2 linked regions of the Daphnia pulex genome follow. The protein of the gene in region 1 binds, or shares a complex with, the protein of each later gene. Links are inferred from orthologs where the notes say so. Each region holds a gene or a part of one and is shown on either strand. Other genes may lie near its edges.

The links.
Region 2: ragulator complex protein LAMTOR5 homolog (region 1) and ragulator complex protein LAMTOR3-like share a complex: the UniProt entries of both Homo sapiens proteins name them as parts of the ragulator complex. The link is inferred for Daphnia pulex from reciprocal best matches to the Homo sapiens genes LAMTOR5 and LAMTOR3.

What each region holds. Positions count from the first base shown.
Region 1 is NC_060023.1:5,828,939-5,845,388, forward strand, and holds ragulator complex protein LAMTOR5 homolog, read left to right. Parts: upstream 1-8,904; 5' UTR 8,905-9,085; coding exon 9,086-9,120; intron 9,121-9,184; coding exon 9,185-9,246; intron 9,247-9,317; coding exon 9,318-9,432; intron 9,433-9,509; coding exon 9,510-9,570; 3' UTR 9,571-9,582; downstream 9,583-16,450. Other genes in the region: sodium- and chloride-dependent GABA transporter ine-like, read right to left, coding at 23-232, 294-312, 386-653, 720-942, 1,008-1,110, 1,179-1,228, 1,296-1,519, 2,979-3,100; RILP-like protein homolog, read right to left, coding at 4,053-4,116, 4,219-4,398, 4,486-4,661, 4,726-4,929, 4,996-5,120, 5,188-5,423, 5,501-5,718; trichoplein keratin filament-binding protein-like, read left to right, coding at 6,352-7,061, 7,148-7,279, 7,338-7,565, 7,638-7,743, 7,816-8,109; transcription termination factor 2-like, read right to left, coding at 10,654-10,661, 10,716-11,028, 11,092-11,216, 11,281-11,434; dolichyl pyrophosphate Man9GlcNAc2 alpha-1,3-glucosyltransferase-like, read left to right, coding at 14,954-15,120, 15,180-16,450. UniProt on the Homo sapiens protein: As part of the Ragulator complex it is involved in amino acid sensing and activation of mTORC1, a signaling complex promoting cell growth in response to growth factors, energy levels, and amino acids.
Region 2 is NC_060018.1:11,748,820-11,765,561, reverse strand, and holds ragulator complex protein LAMTOR3-like, read left to right. Parts: upstream 1-7,842; 5' UTR 7,843-7,940; coding exon 7,941-7,946; intron 7,947-8,035; coding exon 8,036-8,070; intron 8,071-8,167; coding exon 8,168-8,226; intron 8,227-8,290; coding exon 8,291-8,354; intron 8,355-8,441; coding exon 8,442-8,514; intron 8,515-8,583; coding exon 8,584-8,718; 3' UTR 8,719-9,003; downstream 9,004-16,742. Other genes in the region: glutathione hydrolase 7-like, read right to left, coding at 5,191-5,369, 5,434-5,759, 5,832-6,024, 6,093-6,389, 6,466-6,875, 6,956-7,107, 7,194-7,358; endothelin-converting enzyme homolog, read left to right, coding at 9,759-9,776, 10,228-10,341, 11,022-11,259, 11,959-12,174, 12,264-12,553, 12,617-12,715, 12,803-12,979, 13,083-13,154 and 7 more; ATP-binding cassette sub-family F member 3-like, read left to right, coding at 15,389-15,476, 15,628-15,733, 15,794-15,998, 16,058-16,260, 16,329-16,433, 16,504-16,742. UniProt on the Homo sapiens protein: As part of the Ragulator complex it is involved in amino acid sensing and activation of mTORC1, a signaling complex promoting cell growth in response to growth factors, energy levels, and amino acids.

The sequences.
Region 1 (16,450 bases):
CAGAAAATATTTAATCATTTACCACTACTGACAACTTCATCGACGGTTTTCCCTTGTTCGTATGCCAAATTTCCCAGAGTTCCGAACACGCATATTCCGGCTAAAATGCAAGTCACTGCGTCAGTTAGGGAAATAATCAGAGTATCACGCATCAGTCGATTATCGAAGCGATTATAACTCGAAAACGCCATAAGTGAACCGAATGCAATCCCAATCGAATTGAAATTTTGAGCTAGAATAGAGCAACAATAAATTTTTATAAAATTATAAACAACATAACATTTAGAATTTACCAGCTGCGTTGACCCAAACCTTGTGTAAATAATAAAAAAAAGGTATAAATTATGCAATAAAGGTTACCACATATGTTAAATCGAATAAATACTTTTGCTTCTAGAAGTGTTTCCCATTTCGGTGAAAAGAAGTACAGGAGACCTAATTCAGACCCGGGTAATGTGAGTGCTCTGACGATGAATGCCCCTATAAAGAGGTACGGCAAGGTGGCCGTCACGTAGACCACCTTTCCCGAAGATTTAATGCCTTTCCACAAACAAAAGTAGACTAGAACCCAAGCAACTGCGAGGCAGGCTAGAAGTTCCCAGCGCATTGTGCCAAAGTTATCAATTCCTGGTGTCATTTGAAGCAATCGATTGCTACAAGAAAAAGGAAGAATTAAAAATAAATAGTTTGAGTTAATTGTGTTATTTATGGAATAATACTCATAGAATTCTTGTGGTGCGCTTATTTGGTTGTTTTCCATGTGTTCGGAACTGTTAAGTTTGGTCCCATTCCAGCAGTGCTCAGAATTCCAGTCATTGTTACAACTCTCCCAAGGTAAAGGATCCATGAAGGAATTGATTAAGTAATATATTGCCCAGGCAATGATGACATTGTAGTAAGTGGAAAGAAGGAAGGACATGACAACAGTGGCCAAACCAGTTCCTTGATGACCAAAAGATGATAATTAATTTGTAATAAGTTTTTTTCTTCTGTGACCTTGCACAGACCTTTGAAAAATGGGGAGATTTTGTGCATAGCTCCAATTGGTCCTTGTCTTGTGTACTGCCCAACTGCTAGTTCCATGTACAACAATGGGATCCCACATACAATCTATATAAGATAGCTTGCTATAATTCTAGTTTTTAAGAAGATTGTGACTATCAAATATTTGTGCATACCAACATGATGAAATATGGTACCAGAAAAGCACCTCCTCCACTCTTATAACCTGTTCAAATAAATTTTATCTGAATATTTGTTTCAAGTGAGCAGTATCATTGGAATGCAACACTTACAAAGATATGGAAATCTCCACATGTTCCCCAATCCAACAACATTACCAATGCAAGCTAGAATAAATTCTACTTTGTTTGTCCAAGTTTCTCTGACTTCACTAGGTTTTCCATCTTTAGTTTTGGGGTTAATCATGAGGGGATCTTCACACACCATTTTTGTGTTTCCCATTTTGTCAGTATCATCCAAAGAACATGCAGTGTGGATCGTCTTAGTATCGCCTTGTCTGTAAAAAACGTTGTAAACACAATATTGTTAAGTAAATGCAAACATGTTCTAGTTTACCGGGCGATAATGATCAAGTCTACGATATTACAGATGCGGCGATTGTGATTGTTATGTGCTGTGACGAATCCTTTTTTTGTACTCCATATAACAAACAATAAAGGTAACCGCGGGTGTTACATAACCTGTAACATGTTTCTTGCCGACTTATCTCTGAGAGACGTGAGTCGCAACTCCGGCACACACGTCAGGAAGCGGGTAAAAGCAGAAGACTGAAAACAACACCAACTGTCAGTTATCGCTGAACATTGTTGCCTTGGTTACCTGCTGGAGCCCCCTTTCCCACTTAAGTTGGGTATGTAATCAATCAGCTGTGAACATACATGTTCCCATTAAGTTATGGACTTATGGCTGTAACTTATATTCGCAGAAGTGCAATAAAATACAATATGCCGTGTCAAATTATGGCTGCAGTTAAAATAATAGAGGAATAGGAATATAGGATCTCCATGCATGTAATGTGAGCCTCATTTCCAAATGGTTTTTGGATCAGCCCGAATGGGAAAAAAACAAACAAAAACTGTACCGGTCGGGAGATAAAATTTCACAATGTTGTGTTTCTGTGTTTAAATATTTAAAGAAATGATTTTGAATTTGTTACACAATCTAACTGATAATTCAATCATTTAACAGTATTAACCTACTCCTGCGGCCCTGATAACAATATTTACGCAAGTGTATACCTCAAAGCTCAATACGGACATTAAATTTTAGGTCAGAGAAATATAATTCAACCAACTATAACAACAACAGAAATATTAATTGGGCACTTTTTTTTCTAGCTTCCGGTCTTCCACCGATATGGAACACAAGACTTCGTAGTATTTATGTAACTTTGTTAACAGCGGCACATTGCTGAAATGCTCACGTGGGTGATGACGCACATCGCCGCCAAAATAATTTTAGTTCGATTGGAATGTGCTGTCGAATTCGAATCCACTCCCTGTCAATTTATATTTATAAATGCATATTTTTCGTTTTCTGTTAAAAATCTAAATGAATATTCAACAAATTGCCAAATGCATTGTTATCCTAAACTAAGTGGAGATTTTTCCAACTTGTTAAAAACAAAAAAACAGAAATACGATTCTGTGAGTGCGTCACCATTCCTATTCGCAGTTGAAAATAAGCATGTGCTAGACTACACATTGACATTGAATCCGAAACTGCGTAGACTACACGCATGAAAGCTGTGACACCAAAAGCGGATGTCTGAGACATGACTGATCCTGCGCTCTGCTTCAGACAGCAATTAACAATTTAACCTTTTTTCGTGAAGTAAGGTAAATGCTCACGGGTGTAAGACATTTTGATGCGATTTTTCCACCGATAAATATAAAGTTAACATATTATGCAACAACATATGGATGAGACTTTTATTTACGCCTCTGTGCTCTTACGTTTCAGGTGGTTGGTCCCCGGTGGTATGTTGTGAAGAAGATTTGTAGCTTCCTGTAGCTTCGAATATTTCGTTTACCTCGCCACGACTATCACACTGGCCTTTATCAATAAGCTCACTCATTTTTTTATAGATATGCGATAGTTTGATAAATTCTTTGATACGTTTTAGTTAATGGGATTGATGAGGGAACACACGACAACGAAAACCAACAAAAATCACGATAAACCCAACGAACGAAGTGACACGGGAGCGTTAGTCGGGTGTTCATAGGCCTGAGGCTATTTGAGGTCGACTCGCATGAAAAACTCGCAACGTTACTGACTGAAAAATGTGAAGGTTTCACCGTTTGTCCTTGGAGAGATATTATTGTGGGTTAAAAAAAAACCATTGTTCTTTTGAAGGTTTAAATCACTGCATATGTTTGAAAGAATTATACTATACGTGGGCTATGACCGTTTAACCTCTATTCGGGTACCGTACATTCCTGTAATTTTCTCAAGTTTAAACATTTAGCTTTAACATAATAACAATTGTAGAGGTAAAAGAAAAATGAAGACTTGAAATTCATATACGCCATCTGTGTATTCCACGTCGTTAATTGCAAATCAAACGTCTAATAAATGTCTTAGTCTTTGGGATGTAGTAAATGGGGAGTATCTCATGAATAGAACAATGATACACAATTTGGTTATCCGTTGATGATCCAACAGTTCACTAAAACCTAGAACGTCACTGACACATTGTCTGTGAAGGTAAAGATCGCATCTATGGCCACATTTAATTGAAATGATGCAAATTTTAAATCATGGCGATAAAATGACAGTCGATTTTTATACTAAAATTGCTACGAGAAACTTTGTTCGGCGTGGGATTTTTGGGAAAAACCGATTTACCAACTTTCGGTACTCTTTTGGTCACTGTGGATTCAAAAGTCCCGCACTTGGCAACATAACAAGTTTTTTAAACCTGAAAAAAGAAAGCAATAGAGATTACAAATCAATACTGCCGTTAAGGCTGTCCGGTTAGACCGAACTATATACAAGTTCAATATCACAAGTTGGAAAACGTCAGGTCATTTAGCACCATCTACAGTGCGTGGAGCTAATAAACGAGGGAAAGAAGACAAAGTAGAAAACCTAAAAACAAAAACAAAACAAAAATAGAACTGAAAAAGAAAAAGGAATGCGACAAGCCAAAAGCATAAGATTTTAAGCGGTTCGGAATCCCAATTAACTTACAATTTTCGGATGCTCGAATCCTTTTTTCTCGAGCTGGGACGTTTCCACGGAGCGTCGTCCGGTTCGTAGGGTAAAGGCCCTTGAACGGGAAGGTCGCAGGTAGACTCATCTGCTTCCGACGCAAGAGGGTCACCGGAGGAAGCAGTCGACTCGCTATTCAAAGGCGACATCCTTTCAATACTTCAAAATAGGAGAAACAGAAAATCATTAAATTAAACAGCTTAGCCATAATAATTCTTTTTAATTGCCCAGCTTTTAATTACGTACTTGGAATGGTTTTTACTTGGTCGATAAAGCGCTAATTCATCGACCAGATCACTAACACGAGCTTTGAGTTCATTTCGTTCGCAGAGAATCTCTTTTAGTTCGGCTATGGTGAACCGAGGGCGATTTGGATCATTAATATCGATGACAATTTTATTAGTGAGATCTGGTGCGTCGTTCTATTTTCAAAGAGTGATTAAAATTAAAAAATTTAAAAAATGTATCAAATCAGTGTAGGAATACCTGGCACTGAATCAAATCTTCATTGTCTCGTTGTGCGACACCTAGTCGCTTATTCAGCGCAGCCAAATTCCTCGACTGTTCTTGATGTAGAGCCTGCAAATCTGCTCTCTCTTCAACCAAAGTTCTCATTTGCTGAGACATATGAGTTTGTTTCCTCCGCAATTCCTTGTTGATTTCTGTCAATCGATCCACTTGATTGTGTAGCTAAAAATACCAAATAGGTACTGTAACGTCCAGTAATAATTGCAAAAATTTTAAATGTAAATTTACAGATTCTGATTCACAGAGTTTATCTTGATACTCTTTGTCCCTGCAACGCAACAGATCTCTCTGTTTCTCATTAGCTTCCCTGAGCTTTTCGAATAAATCCCAATCAGGCTCTTTTGGTATGGGATCTAAAATATAATTAGATAAAACATTAATATACATTGCTTGATTGAAATCATAAGGAGAAAACCTTACTTTTAGAAACATTTTTCTCTGTACTTTCTTTTAATGAAGAAGACAATCTCTTGTTTTCTTCTTGAACTCTTGAAATTTTCCCTAATAGTTCTTGTGTTTCTTTTTTCCAGTTTTCTTCTAGCTGCTCAATTTCCTTTTCATATCGTAACCTATCAACAGCTTTCTCCCTTTTCTCACGTTCAAGAAGACTGATGTTATTTTGTAATTCTTCTACAAGTTGCCTTTCTGATTCCTGCCTAAGATTCAAGCACAGAAAATAAATAAGAATACATTATTGCTCTTTGTAAAATGTTTTCTTCATTTAAGGACTTACCTTCGAGAGGTTTTATCAAGCAGTTCCAATACTCGTATGACTTTCTGCATCAGCCCTTCAACTAGTTCATTTCCATGAATGCTAATAATTTTTTCTAACTCATTACCAACATCAGAGGCAAGATCAAACACATCCACAACAGAAATATCTGGTAGGGAATCATATTCTGAAGAAGAATCTTGCTGATCTTCCACACATCTTGGTGAAGGCAAAGGCATATTGAATCTTGAACTTTGGCACACAAAACTTTCACTGATTTAATACTCCAAGAGCCCAGATCTCAATTGTTGTTTTAAAAAAGGTTTCATGTAGGGATGTCTGCGGTTAAAATGGTGGATAACTAATAAAAATTTTTTCCGATTTGGTCATAAACTTACGAAACAGTTGTTGAAACCAAAGATTTATTTATTCATTCTCTTCACGCAAGAACAAACAACCCCACTCTGTTTTGGGATGTGTGTTTCATAGAAACCCTTCCTACGCACTGACTTTAAAGGGCTCTTTAGGTGATAAACAGCGGAGAGCAAATGAATGACGTCATTGCAGAATTACTCTATCGACTTTGTCGAAAACAGGTTTGAAATATATTTTACATTTTATGGACATGGTTATAGAAAATACTGCAACGCAATGACATTCGATCTGATAAAAAAATTTATACAATACAAAAATTACGGCAAAAATATTAAAATTTATAATTTATGTATGTTTCAGGTAGTTTCAAGATCTGGCAACACCCATTGCCATGGTGACCAAAATCAGGTTAGTTTTTTCGAATAAACAAGAACAAATCAACTTTCATCACTTTTCCCCTTGAAATAATCGGGAGTGGTTTTATACGATTTCTAAAAATGAGCAATTCATTCAGGCCCAGAAGTGGTTATTCAAACCCTGACAGGTACAGCGCTGCGCTGCCTGTTATGAAAATGCGATTGGAAAACGAAATTATTCGTAAACGTGAAGCAGAAACTCGTCGAAGTGAAACGGCTCGATCGAATGACAGGTATTTTCAAAATTGCAATCTACAAAACGAGAAGTTTGACGATTGGACGTCCCCAAGAAGTGCCCAATTAAGCCACCGTCAATCAAAAATACGTGAAACAGAAATTGATGTGGAAACTCGTAGGAAAAAACTTAAGAAACTGTATCAAGGAGACAGATTAAATGAAGAACAAGCATTGAAAAAAATTAAACAAGAAGAAGAAAACCAGAAGTGGGAAAATATGAAGGATAAAGTGCAGCATTTTAGGCATTCAAAAAGTGTAAAGCTGAATGAGTTTGTCGAGAACAGGGAGCATGAACAGTGGAAATCTACTAGTGCTTCATTCAGGGCATTTGAATCTGAGTTGAAGAAACAGCAACAACAAGAAATGTGGACAATTCAACTGCAGCAGAGAGAAGAAGAGAAGCTAAGATTACTGGAAGAAAAGAAAAGAGAAGCTGTCCAAATGGAACGCTTGGTTCAGGAAGAAAGGAAAAGAGAAGAAATAGAACAGAAGATGGAATTACAAAAGAAACAGCAATGGAGAAAGGATCTAGATGAGCAAGTTGAATTGTTGAGGTTTGTAAAATATTTCTCATGTCTTTTTCCTTATCATCGATTAAACTTAAAAATTCAATACATTATTACATAATATTCCATCTTAGGTCGAAGGATTTTGAGGCAAATGAAAAACGACGAGAGCACGATAAACTAATGGCAGACGCTGCTGCATTGGAGGCTATCAAGGAAGAAATGCAAAAGAAAGAAGAAGAAAGAGCAAAACGACAACAGAACGGGTATTTATATTCTGTGATAATTGTTAAACAACAACAAATTAAATACCTTGCTTTTCAGGGAGTTCCTTACCAAGCAACATTTAGCGAAGTTAAGGCAACGGTCTAAAGAAGTGGCCGCTGATTTGGAAAAAGAAATGAGCTTTGCCGAGAAACTTTTCCCAAATGAAAGTGATTCTGCTTTAGAAAAAGAAAAAACACGTCAAGACATTCAACGATTTTTACAACTCGTTGAAAACCATCGTCGAATCGAAAAAGAACGCCTGCAGCAGAGCGAGTTTTTATTCCAGTAATTGATTATTCTTTTTGGATTATTTTAAGTTCATTTGTAAAATAATATGTCGAATATCTGCCTTCACAGGGAGGAGGCTAAGCGAATGTGGGAAAAACGGGAATTAGAGTGGGAAGCCGAAAGGTTGGCTCGAAAAAAATTAATTGAAGAGGTGATAGCCATTCAGGAGAAGCAGGTAAGTCTTTAACAGTTATTTTGAAAACGGTTAAGATGTAATTTTTCATCATGGTTCTTGTTGCTTATTTAGATTGACCAAAAAATAATCGCTGCACGACAAGAAAGACAGCAACTGCTGCGCGATCGAGAAGAGCTGGTTCATTCACTCGAGAGCTATCATAATCAAGCAAAGAAGAAAGAAATGGAAAATAAAGCTAAACAGTTTCAAACGAAAGTAGATCTTCAGGCTCAAATTGATCACAAACAGCAAAGAGAAGAAGAGTTTAATCATCTGGAACGGCAGAAGCGCAAACACCAAGAGCTCATGGAAGCTGCTCACAACGAAAAACATTGGAATATAGCCATGGACAAATTGAGACTTTAAAGCGTAAAGTTGACGCACATTTCTTGTCATCAAAATGATTCATATCTCGGCTCTAATTTTCTCGTAATTTTTAAATGTTTACAAAATGTGTATTTTTAAGTTACAGCTTATGTCATTCTATCACAGCTATTTTTCGTACTTTTTCGTATTTCAGGAAATATATGGAGCGATCGCAGAATGCCAGTTTATTTCTTATTGTCAGTGTCTAAATCGTGAATTCCTCTGCTCCCGATCAGTGCTATATTTGGATGAAAGTAGCGGATTACAGTAGAGAAAAATTTGTTCATGAAAAATAATTGAAGCTATTATTAGATTTCTACAAAATAACATGGATATACTTCCTGCTTTTGTTCAGTAAACGTGGAACGCGCATTGCAAAGGAGAAACAGTGGAATTTTCCCTTGTGAATCCGTATCGGTATCACAACATCGCGATATGTTTTACCCTGGTTTGTCTCCCAAAGCAAATTAAATCTGAATCCCAATTTTTCTCTGTTTGCTATCAATTATTAACGCGCTGCGCGCTACCCTCAGAAGTCTTACCAAATCATCCATGCCAAATCATTCGAGCTGCTAAATCCTGCCACCTAGCGCTACCATCCAAATTCTGGCCAAAATAAAAAACTAAAAAAAGTAATGTTATAATAAATTAATAAGATACTACTAAATTTCTTTTCACATTATTGTTTTTTTTTCTACGTTTTAAAAAATCCAAATCTAATGTTTTACAATGAAATAACAGAAATTGCAATAAACAGCTGCAGTTGACAGGCCTTGAGGTGAGTCAGTTTGACTACATTGTTTTGACTCTCTGTCTCTGACAGGCTTCCCAAGTTCCACTTCCTTTTCTACTGTGGCAGACTGTAGATGGTTAATAGGTGCTAGCAAAATAAATCAACAAGATTTTGTTAGCCTGTCGGTTTCTGTTTCTGATATCCTTCAGTTAGTTCCTGTTTATACAAAATACCATTGCTATTATGGATAAAGAAGTTCAAAAATGTGTTGAAGAATTGTAAGTAAATCAGAAATCGTTACATTTAAAAAACCGATTGGAACATAAAATTGTGTCGATTTAGGATGACTTCGCCTGGAGTAGTGGGCGTATTGTGTGCAGACAGACAGGGCATGTGCTTAACGTGTAAGACAAAAGCTTCTTTTTTGAAACACAATTGTTTTTTTATAAATATGAACACATTGTTTATAATATAGCACAAGGTGTTGCCAATTCAAACTACTCCGGCTCATTGACTTCTCTGTCACATTTGGCAACAACATTAGAGCCTGGGAAAGGAGATCCTGTCATTTTGTTTGAAAACCATGAAAGGTATGGTAACAATGTCTTTCTATGTTATTTTTATTTTCTAAGTGCTGATTTATTTTTAACTTTTTCTGTTTCTGCAGTCAGTGTTTGATTCATCAGAATATGGGAATGACTCTTGCCGTCTACAAAACCAATACATAAATGCAAAAAATCTGAGAAATCTAAGTTTTTGTGTAGATATACAAATAGGTTCTCATATATTCTTTATTTTTCTTAGCATTCAAACTTTAAGCCACATGATAAAAAAAATAAATAAGAACCTTTGGTATACGCCTTCGGTTCAAAATTTGTGCTTTAGCTGCAGTGGTGTGCTCGATTTCGTTTGTTTCTGTTTATTTTTTAAAAGATGTGGGCCTATTTTGTGTTACAAATAGTAATTTCCTAATGCAATGGGAAGAAAAAGTGAAAATATATCATTGTGTACATATCAGAAATTCTAGAAATTTTCATGAGCGTATACGTCGTAAACAGCAGAAATTTTTAACTGCGCTATACCTAATTACCTGTAGCTTTTTTTTACAGATTGCCTTTTTTTTTTTTTTTTTCAAGGTTTTTTAAAAATAAACGATCCGCGGTTATCCCAGCCTATGGGGGGGATCCTTATCCGTATAGTTCATTTTCAGGAATCTGGAAAGGGAGTTGAGAAATAAAGAATAGATATCCAATGCAGAATCGCAAGACGATTAATTATTGCCTGACCGAACTCCGCCTGTCTGGGAAATAGTCTGGGAAATATTATGAAAATAAAATTTTTAAAAGTTGACTTCTTGGACGATGCATCACTTTTCTCCATTCTTACCGTACCACAGAATAAATAAAAACTAAAGAGTGATGACCTGAAAAACTAGGAGAGCAAAACACGTAAAAAGCTAGTTTTTTTTGCTCCTTTTTTTCTTCCTTTCTTTATCGATTTGCCTTGTACGCAATTTATAATATCGATATAAATATATTTGATATAAATAGCCGACGAGTTGTCGTAGATTTTGATATACATCTGCTTCTTCTTTTGATAGCTCGATTGACACATTATGAATGTGCCTAAGGGAAATGCAATGAATTAATTTTACCATTGTTTTTGTTTCAGCGTATAAATTTTGTATGCACCTTTTTGGCATAGGGATCAGAGGCAAATTTGTGTCCTGAATTTTGTCGTCCTTCATTCGTCGTAAAACAACCGTTTCATCGAGAAGTTTGAGGCGCTCCCCGTCATCGTAAATCCACTGGTTAAAAATCTAAAAAAAAATCTTAAGTTTTTAGGAAGAAAAATTAAAATGTTATTTACTTACACAAAAAACCGTCAAATGGCGAAGCACGTAAAAACCGGAAGTGAGCAAATAGATCTGCCTTGTTATTTTGCAAAGGGGTACCAGTAACGGCCCATCTCCTTTTTGCTCGTAGAAGACAAATAGCGCTACAAAGCTTCGTTTGATGATTTCGAATTGTGTGTGCTTCATCGAGCACAACACGATCGAATTCAATCTGTGTCAATATTAACTGACGAATGAGTTCCGGTCGTGTAAAATCACTAACAGGTTTTGAGTTGGTCGAAGCACTAGCAATATCCTCACGGCCATAATGTTTTATTTCGGCAGCCACGATCTAAAAGGATAAATATATAAAAAAATATTCTTCACTGATCATTCAATCTTTTAATCTGTTTACCCCACAGGTGGTCAGTATCACGTCACACTCGTGTAGTGTCGCTTCAAGCTGTTTTCGTCCTTTCCCGTGGAAAGTAGCAACGGTCGGCGCCTTGCAATGCTTTTCAAGTTCCAGTTTCCGCTGTCCTAAATTTACAGAAGAAAAATAGAAATAAATTAGGATCAATGCCAATCCAATACCATAACGTACTTAGAACACTTGGGGCGGGACATACTATTAGCGTTCCGGATGATTGTTTTATCCATTTAGGAAGCTGAACGGAAGGTGTATTAGATAGAGCTGTCAGGGTCTCTTTATGCTTTGCAATCAAAGCTATAATGCAAAGTGACTTTCCCAGACCCATGTCATCAGTCAAGAGACCACCTATTTATAAATAAGGATTTAATTTGGATTTAATTCAAAATAAAAGTTATGAAAAATTGCCTGATGACGGAGTTTGTTTCTCGCGCCAGAGCAACCCACCGTTGATGGGGAAACAAAGTAGTGGTCAAAAGCGAAGGCTTTGTTTGATCCTTAATTTCAGATGAAGCACGACCACGTACGCCCTTCAGTTTATTGACCAATGATCGGATGTTAAGCTCAAGGCGTGCATCAACACCGTTTAGAGGTTTCACTCCTGACGCTGAAGTACCTGGGCCAGTTTCTGTCGACTTGCCGGGATTTGAAGTTATAACTTGACGGCTAGGTTTCTTAGCTAGGTGGCTTGGGCTGGCATGGATTGGATTGCGAGCCTGATTCATCGTCTAATTGTGAGATTTTGTTTAAGAAAACCAACAAAATTTGATAAATTGTACAAAATATTTACATTATTCGACATCGACATATTAACATTGTTTAACATTATCGTGTAATATAAATTTCAAAATTGCTAGAAATTTAAATATTTGTTATTCCCTAGAACCAAATTACGTAGCCTAATTCGCAACGAGCTTACGGAAGGAGGGGAACGTGACTAGCCCAAACACACTTGGCGGGGAGAAACACGTACTGAGGAAGACTTTAAAATAATAAAGAAAAAGATTTAAAAAGAACCACTGATTCATAAACCCGTCCTGTAATCATATTTTTTTTTGTGCTCGGGCTGGTCAGTGTACGGAAACTCGATTGTCAAAGCACTTGGTGGATTCAGACTAGTTAGTAACTCTTGTTCAATTTTTTCTCATTTACAAAATCAATTGGAATAAGTTTGTGCTTCCAAATTCTGTGTCGATCTAACATGCACATTTTAACTTATCGAAAACAACAAATAAAGGCACGCGAGTTTCAACACAAACACTAATCACGCCGTTGTCGGAAGGAGACTGAGAAAAACAGGAAGGAAGCGACCAGTACCCTTCTTCCCCATCCTCCATAACTGAGAGTAACTGAACAATTTCTTTAAAAAAACTAATTTTTTTGTCTCCTCATAAACATCCTGACTGACACTGACTGTGTAATGTATGAATAACATGAATAGAAAGTTTATATATAATGGTAGAGATTTATTTATTTATTATTTATTTATTAAACCAACAAAAATATATTTGGACTAGATTGCAACTTGTTACACAGTACTGATCTACCTTATGGAATAAATAAATTGTAACATGGATTAAAATTACCTGACGGAGTTTGTGTCTCGCAACCAATTTAGGCCACTCCGTTGATGTAGAAATAAAGTTGTGGTCAACAGTAAAGGCTTTGTTTGATCCTTAATATCAGATGAAGCTCGACCAGCACGTACGCCCTTCAGTTTATTGACCAATGATCGGATGTAAAGCTTATGGCGTGCCTCACCACCGTTCAGAGGTTTCACTCCTGACGCTGAAGTAGCTGGGCCAGTTTCTGTCGACTTGCCGGGATTTGAAGTTATAACTTGACGGCTAGGCTTTTCCCCTTGATGATGCAAAATTGTTTCTATAGGCGGCTTGGGCTGGCCTGGATTGGATTGCGAACCCGATTCATTGTCTACTTGTGAGATTTTGTTTAAGAAAACCAACAAAATTTGATTAATTGTACGCCCTCCTCCCTCCAATTCGTCCCATTCTCCCTCTTCTCCCCGTTCTTCCCTCAAAAAACGTAAACAACGCGTTTAATTCATTTTTAACAAATAAATGGGAATTCAAAAAAATTAAATAATTACATAAAAAAATGTCCTGTTCAATTCTCTATTTCTCTGTTGCAACAAAGTTTTACCATTCTAAACTGGAGTAAAACTACAGACTAAAATCTAAGGGACCCCCCAAAACCCATAAGAACTCCTCATCGCCCAAAGTGAAAGCAGCGCCATAGAATATACTGGTAGCGGTAGCGCCACTGCCATGTTAACTCTTCCTCTCGGAAATTTTCTCTGGGGCTGAAGCCAACTTTAGCAATCGATAGTGAAAATCGGAGCTAAGATATCGATCTCGCTTCTTGCCACTCCTCCACTTTTCCCTCCATTCCTATTACCATGCCTATACCCTACTTCCCCACACACCCGCCGTGGCGCTTATAGCTAAGGAGCAGGGCAGGCAAGCAGGCTTCACTTCCAGAGAAAAAAAGCAATGGAAGTGTTCGTCATATGAGTGGCGGTACCAGTATTCTATAGCTCTGGTGAAAGTCAACATAATATGGCCGCCGCGAGGTTGCCATGGCGTGGGGTACGCGTCATTGGTTTGCTCTATCATGGACTACTTAAGCTAGTGGACGGGTCACTTCGACAAATCCTATGTCGGCTACCATTATTTTTTGTTACTTTAATGAATCGAGCTTCAAAAATGAGCTAGAGTCTATTAAATTATCCCTATGCGGGAATTATTTAATTTCGGTGATATTTAGAAATTGATGTAGGTGTTCGTTGGTTTTCGCCGCCGAGCGGTGATTGTTGGTTGACCACTCTGTGATTCTCTGGTTTTGGTTTGGTTTGGTATGATTAGGTGCGTCTGCTATGGGGCTCTTCGGGATCTGTTTTATTTAGCCGATTTATCTGGCAACGCAGCATGGCGCCAGTCTTTTTTGAGGGAAGAACGGGGAGAAGAGGGAGAATGGGACGAGTGGGAGGGAGGAGGGCGTACGAAAAAAAAGGGGACCCACGTTTCCTCTTCTCCCCCATTCGTCCCATTCTCCCTCTTCTCCCCGTTCTTCCCTCAAAAAAGACTGGCGCCATGCTGCGTTGCCAGATAAATCGGCTAAATAAAACAGATCCCGAAGAGCCCCATATGGGATTCTCTGGTGATTCTCTGGATTCTGTTTGTTTTCTTTCTAAAAACCATGGAAGAGTTTAGAATTCTTAGCGCTAGGTGGAGACAACCAACGAGCACCTCTTCCGTCCTCTCAAAATTAAAACGCAAATTTCTTTTAATTTTTAAATATCTTCACAAGAAATGTGCATTGGAGACTTATATCGATCGAGCCGTGACGCCGAGCGGGGTTGTTAGTAACTAAAACCAAATTCGCAATTATATTTTCTTCTTGTGTAAAACCCATGAGGAAAATTATGGAGTTCAAAGAAAAAAATAAAACATGACAGTGTGTTTGGCCAAAAAGCCAATAATGACTGTAGTAATACTGTACTACGCGAAAGATAAAATCCGAAACTCCGATCTCATCTTGTCTTAAGTTTTACACGTAGCACAGCAGCCGAAATTACAGGATAGTAGCAAGATAGTAGCAGCTGTAACAGCATTGGAAAACGTCACAAATTTTTCTACAAATTTCGATGGCCAATTTAACTGAAGCTTTGCGTCTTAAACTGCAAACTACATTGGAAACTGTTCACTGCGTAAGATTAACTTTTTTTTCATTTTAACCCGTAAGTCTGTTCTTCAAGAAACACTCTTATCATAGACATTATAAGAGTCACTGACCATCTTGCCGCTCGCCTTTCAAAAAAGCATTCGCTATGGATGTCCCCTTCAAATTAGAAGTGATTGCTTTGACTACGGTCATCATTAAACTTGGTGTCTCGCTCTTTCCGTATTCTGGCAAGAATAATCCTCCAATGTTTGGTGACTATGAAGCACAGAGACACTGGATGGAGATCACTGTTAACTTGCCCATTCAGGATTGGTAGGTTTGATGTCGAAAGAGGTTAGCTGAAATGATTCTTAGGATATCCATCTTATTAGGTATAGAAATACAACAGACAATGATTTGCTGTACTGGGGCCTGGACTATCCACCTTTGACAGCCTACCACAGCTATTTAACTGGATTGATGGCTAAGAAAATCAACCCAGATTATGTTAACCTCCTTGCATCCCGTGGATTTGAGAGTCCCAATCACCAGTTTTTCATGAGAATGAGTGTTCTAGTTTCTGATTGCCTTTTTTTTATTAGTGCACTCTATTTTTACATCAAAAACTTAAAAATGGATAACAAGTACAAATGGGTTTTCTTTGCTTTATGCTCCCATCCTGGCCTCACACTTATAGATTATGGTCACTTCCAGTACAACTCGGTTTCCCTGGGTCTGGCACTGTGGGCAATTATTTTTGTTTCCAAAGGAAGAAATCTGTGGGCTGCAGTTGCTTTTTCAGCTGCACTCAATTTTAAGCAGATGGAGCTTTATCATGCCATACCCATATTCTTCTATTTGCTGGCTTCTTGTCATCGCAAAGCTTCCACCTTAATGTCTCAATTGGTAAATTTGATCAAAATTGGGGTTGTTACATTGGCCACATTTGCCCTCATTTGGTATCCATTTCTACAACTTCATGATGGTCTTTTACAACAAGTTCTCTCCCGAGTCTTTCCTTTTAACCGTGGGATTTTCGAAGATTATGTTGCCAATTTTTGGTGCACCTTGAATGTTCTGGTAAAAATCCGACGAATATTGGAACCCACCTCCATTGCTAGCTATTGTTTACTGCTGACTGCTCTGTTCAGTTTCCCTTGTGGACTTCATCTATACTTTAAGAATAGTTTGCGCAATTTACATCTCTGTTTGATCAACGTGTCTCTGGCTTTTTTCCTGTTCTCCTATCACGTTCATGAGAAATCAATCCTTTTAGTAACGTTGCCTGTTTCCATAGCGAGTCCTTATTTCCCGTTCACTGCCTTCTGGTTTCTCTCCATTTCTCATTTCTCCATGTTACCACTGTACGCCAAAGACGATTTGATTCTCCCTGCCGGGGCCGTACTCGCCCTGTATTGTTTGTTGGCTAATAGCAGCTTGAAACTTGAGATGGGTAGATCCATGCAGTTCAAATGTCTAGCTGGCATTTCGGCGATTGGAAGTGCCGTTTTGGCTTTACTATTTCTTATTTGTCCCAATCCGCCAGCCTATCCCTATTTGTGGACACTCTTGGTTTCTGTTTGGAGTTTTGCACATTTTTCAGTTTTTTTCGCCTATTTTCTATATGTTCAATTTTGGGTCGGCTCTCAGTCCTTGAAGTTAA
Region 2 (16,742 bases), on another chromosome or scaffold:
GCGGGGGAAACCAAATAATGTCAACGCCCTCCTAGCTTCATTTGACTCTTTCGCCCTGTTCTAGTTATATACTATTTTACATCATAACATTATTTAGTACTGATTATTATAGCTACTATTTCTATAATAGCTTGTCAATGTTTATCTGTTATTTTTTGGCTGGATCAATTGATATTTAGAATTATTTTATGTTTAATTCATTCAATCGGTTCTTTTTTAGTTAATTTGTAAATGGGTAAATTTGGGAGAAATGAGGAAAATGTTGGACCTATTAACAAATGATGACATGTGTCAATTTGAGGTAATAGGCCTTCAGGGCCATTTCACGTTCGAAACTCCGGAGGAGGCCACTTAAAAACGAACATTGGTAACAGTCGAATGCCACACGAGTCTGGCGATACACACATAACTATATAGCCTAACTAAAACTTCTACAAGGAGGGGTGAAATATTTTTAATTTGTATTTTTCTCCGCGTTTTTCATCATTTGTTTTAAAAGAGAAAAAAAACATAAAAATGGCTGTCTAGAGAAACAAAGTTCTAGTCCTCCCATATTCTATAAGATAGAAGAGCTAATAATACATTTTATTTTTTCCCAAAGTATATAAGAGGGAGGAGGCCATCACACACAGTCGATCGCGCCGGTTGTGTGTGTATGTGTGTATGTATTCTGTACACACACACACACACACACACACTGTTGTATATATGAGCCGGTTGGAGAGACGACGAGAGATGAGGCTGCAGCAGGAGCTGCCGGAGCACAGCAGCAGCAGAGTGTCTCGTTACACGCCAGGACCAAGATAATGGATGACTTTTTTTTTACTTTTTTTTACTTTTTCAGAGTTTTAATATGTACACTTTGCCGGCCCGGTAAAAAATAAAGAAATAAGAAGAGAGAGTAATTCTTTTTGAACAAAAATATTAGATCAAAATGAAAAGACGACAAGAGGATAATAAATTAATATAATGTTCAAGTGTTAAAGAAAATGATGTTTTTTAATTTTAAAAGATGACGACCACTTTTGGATATAGCCCGGCAACAGCGAGCTAACTCTGTATAGCTATAGAGTAGCATCTTTTATTATTATTAAAAGGGAGTTCTCCTCATGTTGCACGGTCGCTGCACAATCCTAGTGTCCAATTAACATACCGAAGATGGCCCCGGTGAACCCTGGGCTGTGCCCTTTCTTTCTCTTTTCACATTTTTCGCTTCTTCTTCTTCTTAACTTGACGGTCAAAAACAATTTTGGGTGAGAGTCTCGGGCTTGATCGATGACCTCAACAGAGAGAAATTCAAGACGAACGAGAGAGAGAGAAAGAGATCCTTCAGTATACTATAGTGTCTCTTTTAAGGAGCCATCACAGTTCACAACATCATCACAAGCGTGTGATGATGTTATCCAAATTGTTTAATGGCGTATTATTATTGTTGATTGGATTTATTTCTATTCGGTTTTTAGGTTAATGATGGCGGGAGGTCGAAAGTTCGAACATGTTGACACTTTTGGGGCTCCCCCCCAAATATTGATGATGTTAGACTGGCCCAGTGGAATATAATGGGACTAGCACATACATTACGTCATTATATATCCAGGCGGTGTACATCTATGGTCTAACTCGACAAAATCCACACAAATAATTGTATCACATGATCTCCTCCTGTCGAAAACGGAGACAACAGCAGAGCGCTCGGCGCGAAAAGGCTCCTATAGGAGCGCGGGATCGTTATTATTATTACGAGCGCGTCAGAGACGAAGAGGAGAAGAGGAGGAGGATGATGATGATGCGCAGTGGTAGCTGAAATCGTTAAGAAGAAAGCGACGCCGATATCCGACACCGCCCGCTCGTTCATTTTCCAGAAGGACAAAAAAAAAAGTTTAAAACTAAAATAAAAAATAAAAAATTTTTTGTTACCCAATTTTATGTTCTTTTTTGAAAAACAATTTCGTTTTTCTTTTTTTTTTTTGAGTTCTGACAAAGTCAAGGATCCGTGCAGATGCGGGACGAAATGACCCCTAGCGACAGCTTGTTAACATTGCCGCCCAAAGCTCCCGAAAAATCATTTCAAATCCCAAATGATAGCCGACGGAAAATTGGAGGCGCGAAAAAAAAAATTTTTGAAAAAATGTTTGAAATTTGAATTCATTTTGGTTTCCAAAAAATCAGGATAAAATGTCGAGAAATTAATCTGATGGCTCGGAGCGTGGACCGACGACCTGTGTGTGTGTGTGTGTCAGGTTAAGATTTTTCCCACACAGTTGAACGGGAGAAAAATGTTGACTGAAAACAAATGCGCGAAAGGTCAAACCCTCTTCGTCAAACGGCACACAAGTCCCGCCGCCCGTCCGTCCGTCCGTCCTAACTCCTAAAAGTTTGACAAAAAAGAAAAATACCAGAGTTCACTCACTGTGGGGATTACATTGTCAGCCATCAGTTATCAAATGAGAGTGTAACAACATTCCAGCTCCCCCCTCAGCTACTGAGAAAAGGAAAATCTAATATTCCGCATTTCCATTTTGAAACGCAGCCACATGTGTCAGCTGAGCGATCAGGGGTGCTGCTTCTGCTGTGGAGGTATTCGGTGTAGTTGCTGCTGGGCCGGCCGGCCTATCCATCACGTCCGTTCCAGCATCGCTGTGACATCTTTTCTCTATGAAATCAAACGAAGCGGAGACAAGATGGAGAGAGAAAAGGAATGAGCCGAGTTTAACCATTTCAAGAAAAAAGAGCTGGTGGTACGATAGGCTCCAACTAATTAGCGAAATTCTAGACTCTCAATCATTCGCCACCGCAGCAGCAGCAGCAGCAGCAGCAGCAGCATGCCATCTTCATCGCCGGCAGCTCAGAGCTCAGTTCAGCTCTATTAGAAACAGATGGGCGGTGTTTTCTTCATGATTATGACGTGCGAATGCGCAAAGGTTTTTCAAACTGAGAAAAGATCTCAGTTGACCAGTCGATTATTTGATTGACAGTCAAATTCTATTTCGATTCAAACGGGTAGTGTCAAATGAATGGGAATGACTCCGGAGTCGATCCTGGGTGATGCCATTCAAATGTCGTCTGATATGGAGCGGGAGCGAACAACGTTACGTACGTACGCGTACGATATTTGCTGCACGTGCAGAGCCGTTGGGGGTAAAAATTGTTCCAAAACATTCGAAAAGATGCGCTCTCCTTATTTTGACTGTACATAATAAACCGCGTAGACGATTGGGTTTCCTAAAAAGCTTTTACTTTCTTTTCTTTTTTTTCTTTTCTTCTTCTTGGATGTTTATGAACTTGTGCACGGACAGAATATTATGTCTCGTCGCTCAAGCTGCGGTTTGGTGTCGTCGTCCTTATAGCTCCGTTTTCGGTGGGCCCATACCAGCCGGCCCAGCAGCCGCCAGCCACTCTCCTCCGAGCTGTAATATAGTCGAGCGGAGGAGGATCTGTCATTGTAACAACAGAGGAACAAGTGAGGGGGTGATGATGACGACCCCACGCGACTCGTTGATGTTTTTTCTTCTTCTTTCTTCTTTCTTTCCCCTCTTGACGCAACCGATTCCACGTCTTTTAAAGAGCATTGCGCTTGCCGCGATTGTTTACTCAACTCTTCAACACGGGCCCCCACCACCACCACCACCACCATCCCCTTGGATGTCAAACTCGGTTTTGGGGGCTCATCAAAACAAAAAGCGGATCAATTTCCCCACTGGAACAAAAAGAAGAAAAATAAAAAATAAAAATGGCAAAAATCGGTTGATGATGATTAATGAAGGAGCAATTCGCGCGTCAAATTGTAACCCAATCTCTTTTCAAACTTTGCCCACAATTTGTGGCCTTTTAACGAGAAACGGAGGGGGGTGTCCCCCCTATTTTATTTCTTACATTTCTCCAAGAATGGAGTTCAGCAAGTGGCCAACTGAGAAGTCAACAAATCTCCTTTTCTCTCTGTGTCTGCCTGTCTGTCTACTAGCTGTACACGTACCTCTTTCGACCAACTTAACCCCGAAAAAACACAAACAGAGAGAGAAAGTGTAATCTTATGATGTGTATCCCCTTTTTCTTTCTTTTTCTTCTTGGTGTGCCACCACACGTTGACAGGCGTTGCTGTTTTCTTTCTTTCTAGTCGACTTATTCCTCTTTTCTTTTCTTTTCTTTCTTTTTTGGCAGTGATCTATTGGTCTGACGACGAAGAGGGTGAACGCCTCTTCGGCTGGCTGTCGAGAGGTGCCGGGGTCAAATGTTAAATCCTACGGCGCTATAGCTCATATCTTCTAACATGGGCCTCTATAGACGGGCGATCGGCTACACACTTGTCATTTTCATTTTTTCAAAAGTTTTTCGAAAGAAACAAAGAAGAAGACAACGACGGCGCAGGGGGTGCACAACTCGGCCAGGCTGGAGAGAAACTGCTGGGCCCGACGCACCAACACACACACAACAGGGTTAAATGACACGCAACAGCTGCGTTGGTATGGGGTAGTAGTAGTAGCTAGTAGTATAGTGGCGCGCATATACTATTGGCTGTGGGTTAGTACACGGCCGCATCATCTTGTGTGGGGGTGACTGAGCCAGCAGGCGTCGCATTTGCATTTCGCGGGAGACGAACAGAGAGAAGAGAGTCAGTGTCACCCTCTTCTTCTTCTTCTTCTTCTTCTAAAAATTTGAATTTTCTTTTTTGTCTTGAGTTTCCCGACTTATTCCTCGAGCTGACACACTTGTCGCGTGATTTACCATTCACGACCCTGCAATCCGAGACGTGAGCGAGGGGGGAAGGTGGCCCAGCAACGACACCAGAGAGCTGGAAAATGAGAAACTCTTTTCGAATAATAATAAAAAAGAAATGTCCTTTTTTCGTGTTCTTCTTCGTTGTGTCTTGTCTAAAGAAGAAAAAAAGAGGGGTGAAACTTAATATTTTTTTTATTGCCTTGTGTGTGGCTACATCAAACGGGCAATAAAAGAGGAAGACGTTCCAAAAAAAAAGACCTAATAAAAAGAAAATGAATTATTGCTGATGATTCTTTGTCAGAGCTGAACTGAACTGATCGCCACCGGGGGGGAGGTTAGAACAGAGTTAAACAAGTTGTGCGCAGATCTTATTCTTCCGGATGGTTTAAACATTAAGAGGCAGTTGTTTCGTGCAAAAAAAAAGTCTTGTTCCATAAAAAGCTGGAAGCGTTTTGAGAAAAAAAAGGCAGTTATTTAAGGGCCGTATTTTACGGCGTAGCCGCCACCGCGGCCGTCTGATTGAGAAGACAAGGCATCGCCACTCTTGAGCACGAGATTAACGGACGGATAGGGCGGAGGACGGAGTAGGATCGTGTGACCCATTTGGGTCAGTGAATTGATTAAGATTTCGGGCAGCTTCGCTTGCGGCATATCTACGAATGAAATGAGAAATGAAATATTTTCGGTGGATTATTGATCCGCAGAAATCGAATTTACCTTCCAGTTCGAGGGAAGAACTCTGCGGTTTGGAGTGGATTCTGGCGGAGCGGATGGCATCGGCGGCTGATTGATTGAACTGGAGGAGATTCATGACGACCTGGGCGAGTAGAGTGGCATCCGCCGAGCCTGTGACGAACCGGGTGCCGCATCGCCCATTCGTTTCGGTCGCAATCACCGGTAAAAGGCCCTGCAATGGACGTTGGCCGGCTTGACCGCCCACATTGTCCGGCAGAGAAGGGTCGTCGTAGAAGCTGGCCATGGCGTTATTCAAGACGTAACCATCGGGAGTCACCAGATGGGCTCCGAAAACGGAATTCAATCCGCTAGGTTATGGGAAAATCGAATCAAATAAAAATTGGCTCGTCAATCAGTTGATTGAAATTCAAGCAAATTACCTGACGACAGCGACGTAAATCTCTTCATTGTCAATCACAGAAACGACTGAAGCGGCAGGTTCCGGCATTGAAGGCACGTCGCTGTTGGGAAGGATCACATTCGGGTGGATTTGCTTCCTCACTTCATCCGCCAGTGTTTTATTGGTCATTTGAGCGACAACCGACGCCACATCTTTTCCAAACAACGGGTCCCCTTTTGACAATGAAAAAGATAATAATGTGACATGAAAGAAATAAATTTTAATTTTAATAATTACGTACCTAATTTCGAAACTTGGTTTTGAGTCACCCTCATAGTTTCGATCATGTCGTGTGTATATCCTAGGGTCAAATAGTCCCTGACAGACAACTGGAAGCCCGATAGGATATTGAGAAGCGAAATGAGCTGGGGACCTGAAGTCGGAGCGGAACTTGTGTACAGAGTGGTTTTCCCATAAGTTCCAGTTATTGCGGTTTCTTCTCGAGCTCGGTACTTTCCCAACTCTTCCATTGTCCAGTCGGCTCCCGCTTTTGCCATGAAATTCACCAGTTTCATGCCCGATTTCCCCTTGTAAAATTCTAAATGAAAAATAAAAAAATGAAGAAAGTTAAATCTGATTGAAATAAATAGAAATTATGTCAAATGTGAATTTACCTTCGGCCCCGTTTTCATTTTGGGCCAGAGAATCCAACAGTTTACCGAAGGCTGGCTGACGAATGACTTGGCCTTCGGCGAGAGGGATGTTGTTGGGAAAGAAGAGCTGGGATCGGCGCAAGGGAGAATCACTCGGAATTCCTTGCACCGCCCCAGCTAGCTGAGATGACACGTTAATCCCGAGATTACTCAACTGGATGGAGGGTTGTAAAAGATCCGCCCACTTCAGTTTGCCAAATTTCTTGTGACTCTCCCACAGGCCACTCAAAAGACCGGGGATTCCCACAGCCAAGGGTCCTTGGCCGTTGACGATCAAAGACGCATTCACTGGTCCGGGGGCTGCGTCTTGAAAGTTGATGACCATTGGTGGCTTTGAAGTCAGGTGGTTGAGTATAATCATAGCTCCACCACTGTCAACATTAATTTTAAAATAGATTTTGAAAGAGGATGCAGGGATGACAAGCATTGCATTTCAAAATATTGATCTCACCCTCCAAGTGAAGTGATGTGAGGATTGACAACACACATGCAGAACATTGCTGCAACTGCTGCATCGATTGCATTACCCCCTTTTTGAAGGGTATCAACACCGATTTGAGAGCATTGCTGGCTGTCTGTTGCAACTGCACCTCGTGGCAGTATCTAAATGTGAAATTTCAATATTAATTTGTTGTGTAGATAGCAGGAATGTATAAATGTTGTCATTGAGTAGAAAAATGGATACACACCTCAGGATCTCCTAGATAGATGCTTATAACTAATGCAATTGTGACACAGATGCATAGAACTCCAAAGCAAAAGATAATCACTCTTAGCCCATCATTTTGTTGGCCAGAACAACAGTTCCCAAATCTTGCTTTTTTGTGGGTTGGAGAGAGTGGAATGGTTTCCATGATATTAAATAGTATTTGATTAATTGCAGTTTGTAGGAATTAAAACATCACAGCGACGAATTCTAAGGCTGTCAGATATCTTGAGTAAACCAATCACGACTATATATAGTTGGAGAAAGTTTTATGACGGGGAAGCGGAAAAATAATAATAATAATAAAAAAAAACGTGTAGGCGGGATCGCCCTGTCAAAACAAGACCCTCCTATGTTTTGTTTTGATTATAAGCTATCAAACAATTCGCTAGATGTCGCGGAAATTTGCAAATTACGCGCGATAAATGAATCACGAAGTGCAGTTCATGAAATATCAATTGTAAACATTCGATTACACGCGATAAAATAATACACTTCATTATAATTAATAATGTATCATTTTAAGTACATCAGATGTTACGTGGCTTAAGAGTAAATGATCACAACAAACTCATCTAGTGGTGACATATGGAAACATTAATTTACTGATTTTCCGACTTTTAGATGGCGCTTTTGTTAATAAATATTTGCTGACACTTGCTGACTTCTTCTGCTAATCTGCTATTGATGTTGTGAACTGTGATTCATAAAAAAGTCACAGACTTGACTAATGGAGGTAATGTTTGTGGGCGTAATTTATTTGTCAGTTAACGATGTTTTTCTTAAATCTTTCTTTAAAAAACTGTTTCTGTTTTCTTTCGGCAGGAATTGCGAAAATATGTTGCGTGCATTTTACAGCGGTAAGTTAAACATGGCTAAACTCTACCATTGATTATATAAGAAAAGTCTTGATAGGTTTATAAACTATGTTTATCTTTTGTACTGCCCTATTTTCAGAGTGGACGGTCTTTTGGCAATTATTATAACTGACCGAGATGGTGTGCCTCTAGTCAAAGGTTTGTAAATATTCAGTATATTGTGATCTCAAATTCATTTCCCGATTTGTTTTTATCTTTACAGTGGCCCTTGATTCTGCACCCGAGATGGCCCTTAGACCAAGTTACCTTTCCACCTTTTCAGCTATGTAAGGGCTTGTTTGTAGAAATCAATTAGCTACGTAATCGTATCCACACAACAAGTCAACATAATTTTTCATTTGTGATTTCCACAGGGCAACAGATCAAGCTGGAAAGCTTGGAGTTGGAAAAAATAACAAAATCATTTCTATCTATTCAAATTATCAGGTATAACAATTTTCAATTACAGACTATTTAAGAAAGTGTTGTGAAACCTTTTTCTCCTGATTGTACTAGGTGATTCAAATGAACAAGAGTCCGCTGACAATAAGTCTGATTGCCAGCAAGACAGCAAACACTGGACAACTGGTCAATTTGGAAAATGACCTTTTAGTTGTTGTTAATGATCTAGCTTCTTCAGTTGTTGAATGAAACAAAAAAAAAATCATTTCAATTCATGTTACAATTTTCATCATATCTTGAAAATCATGGGAAATTGTTTTCATCCGTAAAAAAAACCATGTTTATTCTTCCAATCAATTTTTGTGTTTTTCCAGTTTCGTTCCAACAATATCCATTTAGAGGGCGTATCACTTGACCTTGTGTTAGATCGAATGTCATTATTACATATGCCGTAGTGTGGCGCTTTATTTCGGTCATGCGATCCCACATTGGCCAGACAAATGAACGTCTTGGATTACACTTGAGAAAGCATTATTTCCTGTTCGATGCCCCGCTGTGATGAGGGAACCTTTTCTGTGCATCGGGTCGATATACATTTGGCTCGTCTTATTTTCCAGGTGGTGGCCAACAAATAGTTGTGAAGAAGACGCCACAAGTGTCAGATAGTCGTACGACGAGTGCGTTCCTCTTCTTGACGGCCGCACAAAAGCGACCTGGGGTTTTTATTATTGATCGTTCTTTGTATATAGGGGCCGGGCTGCACGACGTGGAAAAGCTGGCTGCTCTCTCTCTCCATTAGTGGGGGTCCTGCACACGCAGCTCACGGGACGATGGATGCAAAAGGGGGAAAGACGCGAGAGAGTTATGCTGCGCTTGCGCCGGGGCGTTTTCCCAGTTCGCCGCAGTAGGTTATCTACTCCCGGTGGCACCAAGACGTCCGGGTGGCTTGGCTTTAATTTTTTTTTGTTTTAGTCCTTTCGGACAGCTCACCGACCTCTGATGTGTGTTTCCCCCCCATTTGTTTTCCTTTTTTGAGTTGTGTTAAGGATTTTTGTTTGTTTCTGTTTCGCCATTCGCCCGTCGTTCACCTGCTCTTTTCGTCGGTACGTAATTATGGGAACGAAACCCACCCGGATGACGTCCCCGTGTACATGAGACAATTTTGTGTCCATCTTCCTTCTACCTCCAGTTCGATCTGACATCGACATCTGTCTTTTTCGTTGAACGATTGACCTGTTGTGTCTCCTGTTGTGCAACATCAAGAACAATCGGCCAGTCTCTACAAGACAATGAACAGCTACGTTCAGGTATACATCAACAACTTCCTCCTTGAACTCTTCCTGCTGTGTAGTAGTCGTAGTAGTAGTAGTAGTACGTCCACTTCATGCAAGAGCCTGGCCCTGTTTTTGTTTAGCTTCTGTTGTGTCTATGGGGTACTACTCTCTCCCAGCTGTAGAACTAAATCGATTGCCGGAGCTGCTGAGAGCCAGGCGAGAGAGAGAGTCAACCCCATCTTCTCCCCCCTCTCTCCTGTTTGCAACCGAAAAAAGATAGCATACTGTGTTACTTGTCAAGCTAGAAACTCTCTTGAGATTGTTAGAACCAAATAATCCGTTCCCGAGAAATTCGTGAAATAAAAACAACAACCCTAAAAGACATTTTCCTGTTTACAGTGTTCACTGTGATAGGTGATTATTTTCTTCCTGTTTGACTTCATCCGTCTTTTAACTCTTTTTCTTTTCGTACTCTGTTTGACAGATGACTTGTTACGATCACGGTGGCGTCGAAGAGGACGACAGCTCCATCTTGACGGCGTCAGTCCCGACCACCGAAACCGCCAACTTTATCAGCCCAACCGTCCACATCCGCACGGTGAGAGGCTTCAAATTTTTTTCAGAATGTTTAGTCACTTCTTATAAAGTGTCCACAAGACCAAAAATCAATAACTTTGATGTGATATGTACCGAGGCGTCTGTGTGAGTTGGTTTTTCCTTCATGTTTATAAAATTCTCCGCCTCGACGGATTATTGTACGCCGTTCACCGCCGTTAAATGCTTGCGCCAACGAAGCTTAACGGCTCAAGTGATCATTAAATATTTGGTTTTGGCTTTGAATTTCCGTTCTGCCAATGGGCGCTGGAGAACAAACAACCCAAAAAAAGAGTCTAAATATAATCCGTTCCGTGTGCGCATTATTTCCTTCGCCATCTCTCCCATCGCCTTTTTTCCTTTTAAACTCCGTCAAATGTTCCTCTTCTTTTTCTTTTCTTATTTTATTTCAACGACTTGTTCCGGCCATTACTTTCGTGGCTACGGAGCCTCTCCGTCGGCGCGGCCTGACAGATAGACCAAACTAAAAATATTTACCCTCATTTCAAAGCAAAAAGTTTCGTCGGGATTCGACCGTTCCTTTAGCCGTTGCTGTCCCGATTCCCCCCCAAAACTGCGCAATTCTTTTGTTTTCTGCCAGAAAGTTGAACTAATCAGAACTTTTTTTTGTGATGATCACCCACACCGAAAGACAATGTTGCTGATGTTTTGATTGATACACAGTTTCCAGTTGCCGAAGGCGGTGGAGTGGGCGTCTTGTCCGGATGGGCTCGCGTCCGCAACGGCTGGAAATCGCACACGGCGCTGGAGCGTAGCCTGTTGCTGGTGACTTGTGGACTGGTCACACTCATGGCTCTCGTCTTGCCCGCTCTCATCTCGGCCTACGTCAATCTCAAATCGAAACAGGACCTTCGTTTGCTTCACATTAGTCACCGAAGCGGCAACAGCGACTCGGCTTCAGGTTCATCTTCTTTGATTCTTTTATTTTTCTACTCTAACAATTTCCACATCGAAAATCACATCCAGACAATATCAGAGTTCCCCAGTGCGTCATTCGTTAGTTGTTACCCGGGAAACGCTTCTCGGGTGAAACTTATTTTGGGAGTAGAAGAAAAAAAGAAATTCGACGGTATAATTTCATTTGCCAAGTCACTCAGCCAGTAATTAGATGAGAATAATTCTGTTCTTTCTTCTCTCTTAAACGGCGACATTATTCCATAATTGGGGCGGAATTGGACAATGTTGGAAGGGGTTATCAATCGTGCCCGTCGATTTCTATGTCGTTCCACGGGTAACCAAATATCAGCCCGCTTTACAAAGCCTTCATTCTTTTTACTTCCCTGGGCTGCACTTAAATGAATCGAATATCGGGGGGTAGCAGAGTACGCTTGTTAGTGACTAATGAGCATGATTTCCCGTGAGATAGCACGCTTGTCATTAAAAAGAAAATAAATACGGAGAGCCCATATGCAAATGATGACGAAAAATAAAGCGACAATATAAACTACATTAGACGAGTCTCTGCCTCTGCATCTTTTATTGCTATCGATTAGCTGTCACAACGTTGAAATGGAGAGCCACTTTATTGTGACATACTATTTGATAACCTCTTCTTCTTCTTCTTCCTTTGATGGCCGCTTGATTTGAAAACGGAGAACAGATGATGGGTGTGGTTTATGCACGAGCACCGCTTGCGTGAGCGCTTCTGCGTTGATGATGTCTGCCATGGATACGTCGGTCGATCCCTGCCAGGACTTTTTCCAGTATGCGTGCGGGCGCTGGATTCGCACCAATCCCATTCCGGCCGGAAAACCCATTTGGGGCACCTTCGATCGACTTTGGCAGGATAATCAGATCGTCATGAAAACCATTCTAGGTATTATATATCGGCTTATAATAGATTACACATCTTTCTTCTCAACAACAATTCCATTTTTATTTTGGGTCGACTTTTGACTATTTTAGAACAACCGGCCGAGTCTTTGAGCAGCGAAGCGGAGAAAAGAGCCCAGCGCTACTATCAATCCTGCCTGGACGTCAACGAGACAATGGAAGCGCTGGGTGGCAAACCGGTGATTGACCTATTGACTCAAATTGGAGGCTGGCCAGCCATTGAACCGTCCAACGCCGAGGCCGAGAAACGTTGGGTGTTCCAAGGAGCTCTTCAAACTGCTCACAATGTCATGAACATGGGCGGTTTCTTCACCTGGGCCGTGGCTGAAGACGACAAGAATTCATCTCGTCATATTATTCAGGTGAGTTCATCTATCATTTTTCCAATATGGAGAATTAAGGCGAATTTCTTGTTGATGTAACAGATGGATCAGAGTGGACTGACATTACCCAATCGAGACTATTACATCAACAAAACGGAAAGCGACGAAATCCTGGTCGCCTATCTGGACTACATGACCAAGGTTTGTTTTTCCTAGAGCCGAGCTAGTTCTATAGTTGCACAGCGCAATAATCAGAGTAAACAACAACGTGTCGAATTGCATTTTTAGGTGGGCGTATTGTTGAACGCTGCGGTCGACCCGCAAGAAATTCGAAAGCAGATGAAGGACGTCATCGAACTGGAAACTCGTATCGCGCAAATCACCGTCTCGTCTGCTGAAAGGCGAGATGAGGAGAAACTCTATCACGCTCTCACCATTGCTGATCTCCGAAACCTAGCTCCATTCGTTAGTTATTTACTTTTTACCATTAACAACTAGGATGTTGGGTTTTATTTAATCATTTTAACGGTTGTATTTCAATTTTTCGAAACACACCTGATGGTTTCAGCTCGATTGGAATGCCTACTTTCAATCGGCCTTTTCTCAAGTCAACATCACACTCACGCCGACCCACCCGGTGGTATTTATAACAAACATTAAATTCATTTCTTTTATTATCAAGATGTTAATCTTTGATTTTTTTTTACGGTTAGGTCGTCTTCTCGCCAGACTTTCTGCGCAATCTCTCTGTAATCATTGAAGAACTGGTGACCAATGACAGAGGCAAAAGGTAGTAATCTATCGAGATTATTTCTTTTTAAACATTCCCGGAATTCTCATTGAATGATTAACATAATAGGATGCTCCACAACTACATGGGATGGCACGTCGTCCGCTCATACCTGTCCTACTTGCCAAAGGCGTTCAGAGAAGCGGGCAAGATCTTGCGAAAGTTGCTGATGGGCTCGGACGGCAACGAGGAAACTTGGCGCTCCTGCGTGACGGACACCAATAGCGTGCTGGGCTTCGCCGTCGGCGCCATGTTCGTCAAACAAAACTTCCACGGCGAGTCGAAACCGCTGGCCGAAAACATGATCGCCGCCGTCAAAGAGGCTTTTAAAAATAATTTCGATAACCTGGACTGGATGGATGACGAGACCCGACTGGCGGCCAGAGATAAGGCCGACGCCATCACTGATATGATAGGTTGCGTGCCGATGATGATGACGTATTATGGTCCTACTTTTCAACGGAAAGTAATTATAGAACTCTCGTTTTTTTTGGGGTTTTTCCAGGTTACCCCAAGTTTATTCTGAATCCGGAAGAGCTGGATGAGCTCTACGGCGACTTGAAAATCGAATCAAACGAATACTTCCTCAACAACGTCCGCTCCAATCAGTTTGCCCTGCGCCAAAATCTAATTAAACTCAACGAACCCGTCAACAAAACACTGTAATTCTCTCAATTAATTTAATATAATTCATCTAATTGAATTCTGAATGAAGCATAAGCTGCATGTTTCCGGTGGATAATAAAATTAACATATTTCCAACCTACATGCAGATGGGGAATGACGCCGTCGATGGTCAACGCTTACTACACTCCCAACAAGAATCAAATCGTTTTCCCCGCCGGTATCCTCCAGCAGCCGTTCTTTGATAATTCATTTCCTTACGCACTCAATTTCGGCGCCATGGGCGTCGTGATGGGACACGAATTGACGCACGCGTTCGACGACCAGGGCAGAGAATTTGACCGCAATGGCGACTTGGCCCCGTAATTCATATAATTTTAATTTTAATAATAATCCAATAATTATAATAAGAAATAATTATAATACCTAGATGGTGGAATAATGCCACGATCGAACGTTTCCAGAAACGCACCGAGTGTCTCATTCAACAATATTCTTCCTACACAATCAACGGTCAACCTCTAAACGGGAAACAAACATTAGGTAGATTGTTATTTCTACATATATGTAAGAAACAGTTTTTGATTGTCTAGTCTTTAATAGGTGAAAATATAGCTGATAATGGCGGGTTAAAAGCTGCTTTTCACGCTTTCGACAATTGGTCGTCTACTCGCGACGAGGAGCTTCTGCTACCCGGACTCAATTTGACAAGAAACCAACTGTTTTTCCTAGCATTCGCTCAGGTGAGAGTTGATTATTAAAAGTAGCTCACCTAGTACGATTAATCAGCGCTAAATTGATATTGTGTGAGAAGGTGTGGTGCTCATCGAGCACAAAGGAAGCCCTCCATCTGCAGATATTGAACGATCCACATTCGCCAGCCCGTTATCGAGTGATAGGACCTGTGTCCAATATGCCTGAATTCTCGTCAGTTTTTAAATGCCAGCCGGACACTCCGATGAACCCGAAAAATAAATGTGAAATTTGGTAGTTATACTTCCGTGGGTTCATAAAAACGACCTAATCAGAAATACGTTTTTGGGACAAATCTTTGACGCAACTACATTTATCTTCCCTCTTATTGTGTTTGATCTTGGTGTTAATATTTATTATGTGGACAAAACTATACCCCTTGCCAAACCAAATCATATCATAAAAAAAATGATGTGTCGTCGTCCATGATCTCCCAATATCAGTCGTGGGGTTTCATTATAATCATACGTGTTTTCCGTTTAAAAAAAATCATTATCTCTCATGGCCGATTTTAATATTACTATTCTGTAATATCCACGATGAATCAAAAGAAAAATAATGAATACAGCTTTTAAAAACGCCAACGATATTGAAAAAAGTATTAATCGCGATACTTGGACCCTAACAATCGATCATGCTATAAATCGTTTGAACTTGAATCGATTCGTTGGTTCTATTTCTTTCCTTTATTTCTCAAGTAAATAATAATGTCGGAGGCGAAAAGCTCTGCAATTAGTAAAATTCTGAGATCCGAATTTTCTCAGATTGATGACAGCATCTATCAGTATATAGAAGGTGATTGTTGAACAGGATTGGGGTTTTCATTTTTGGTGTGGGGCATGGGAATTGTTTCCTTCGACAGCACGAAATACGTGTAAACCATGTGCTTTGAGACGTCTGAAAAGTGCTAATAGTGTCCCTATTTTTCATTTCACTTTTGATTTAGGTGTATTGGATGTTGGAGATGATTTTCAAAATTCTAATGAAGTCTACGAAGCAATTGGAGAAGTCCTTCATGAGGTCGCTGCCAACAAAGGAGAGGACGAGATCAGGTACTTTCAACTTTTTGCTTCTAAATCACACAACATTTTATATTCTTACTTGTTATTTAGGAAACTATGCCAACAGCTCTTGACAGTTTTAAAACCTGACTTGGTTGACGGCCAGCAGAATGGAGTACATTCTAGTTACAATGGCGGTGAAAGAAAACTCCTCAACAATCCAGTTATGATGAGTGATGCTGCGTCATTCATGAAGGAAAATGATGGAGAGGCCCCAGCTGCAAGTATATGGAATAAACCCAAAGGAGAGGATATGGTAAGTGAGTTCTGTAAATGTTTTCTTAAATCCTTTGTTAAACAAACTTTTGTATGCAGAAAGTTGACACTAGAAAATTGGAAAAGGCTGAAGCCAAACTGCAGCAAAAGCAACAGATAAAGAAGGAGAAAAACTCTAACGCACCTTCAAATGCTACAGCTTCTCAAGTATTGACGAAAAAGGAAACCAGAATGGAAGCCAAAGGCACAAACAATTGCAAAGATATTCGTATTGAGAATTTTGATATTGCCTACGGAGACAAGTAAGAAACAACATCTCTCCTCTTTTGTGCTTAATTTATGTATTTATTGTGTTCTTTTTTTTGTGTAGACTCTTGTTGCAAGGTTCTGACCTTTCTTTGGCTCATGGCCGACGGTATGGTTTTGTCGGCCGAAATGGACTTGGAAAAACGACGTTGCTTCGCATGATTTCATCGTAAAAAAAAATACTTAAAATATTCTTAGCTCTTCACATCATTCAAAATTCTTCCTTATCTAACTTTTAGTGGGCAATTACGGATTCCGTCGCACATTTCCATATTGCACGTTGAACAGGAAGTTGTCGGCGACGAAACTCCAGCCATTCAGAGCGTATTGGAGTGCGACTTCAAAAGAGAAGCTTTACTCAAAGAGGAGAAGGAACTTGGCGAAAAAATGAACGGTCCCAGTGCGGATCCTGAAATGAGCGCAAGATTGTCTCAAATCTACATTGAACTTCAAGCCATTGATGCTGACAAAGCACCAG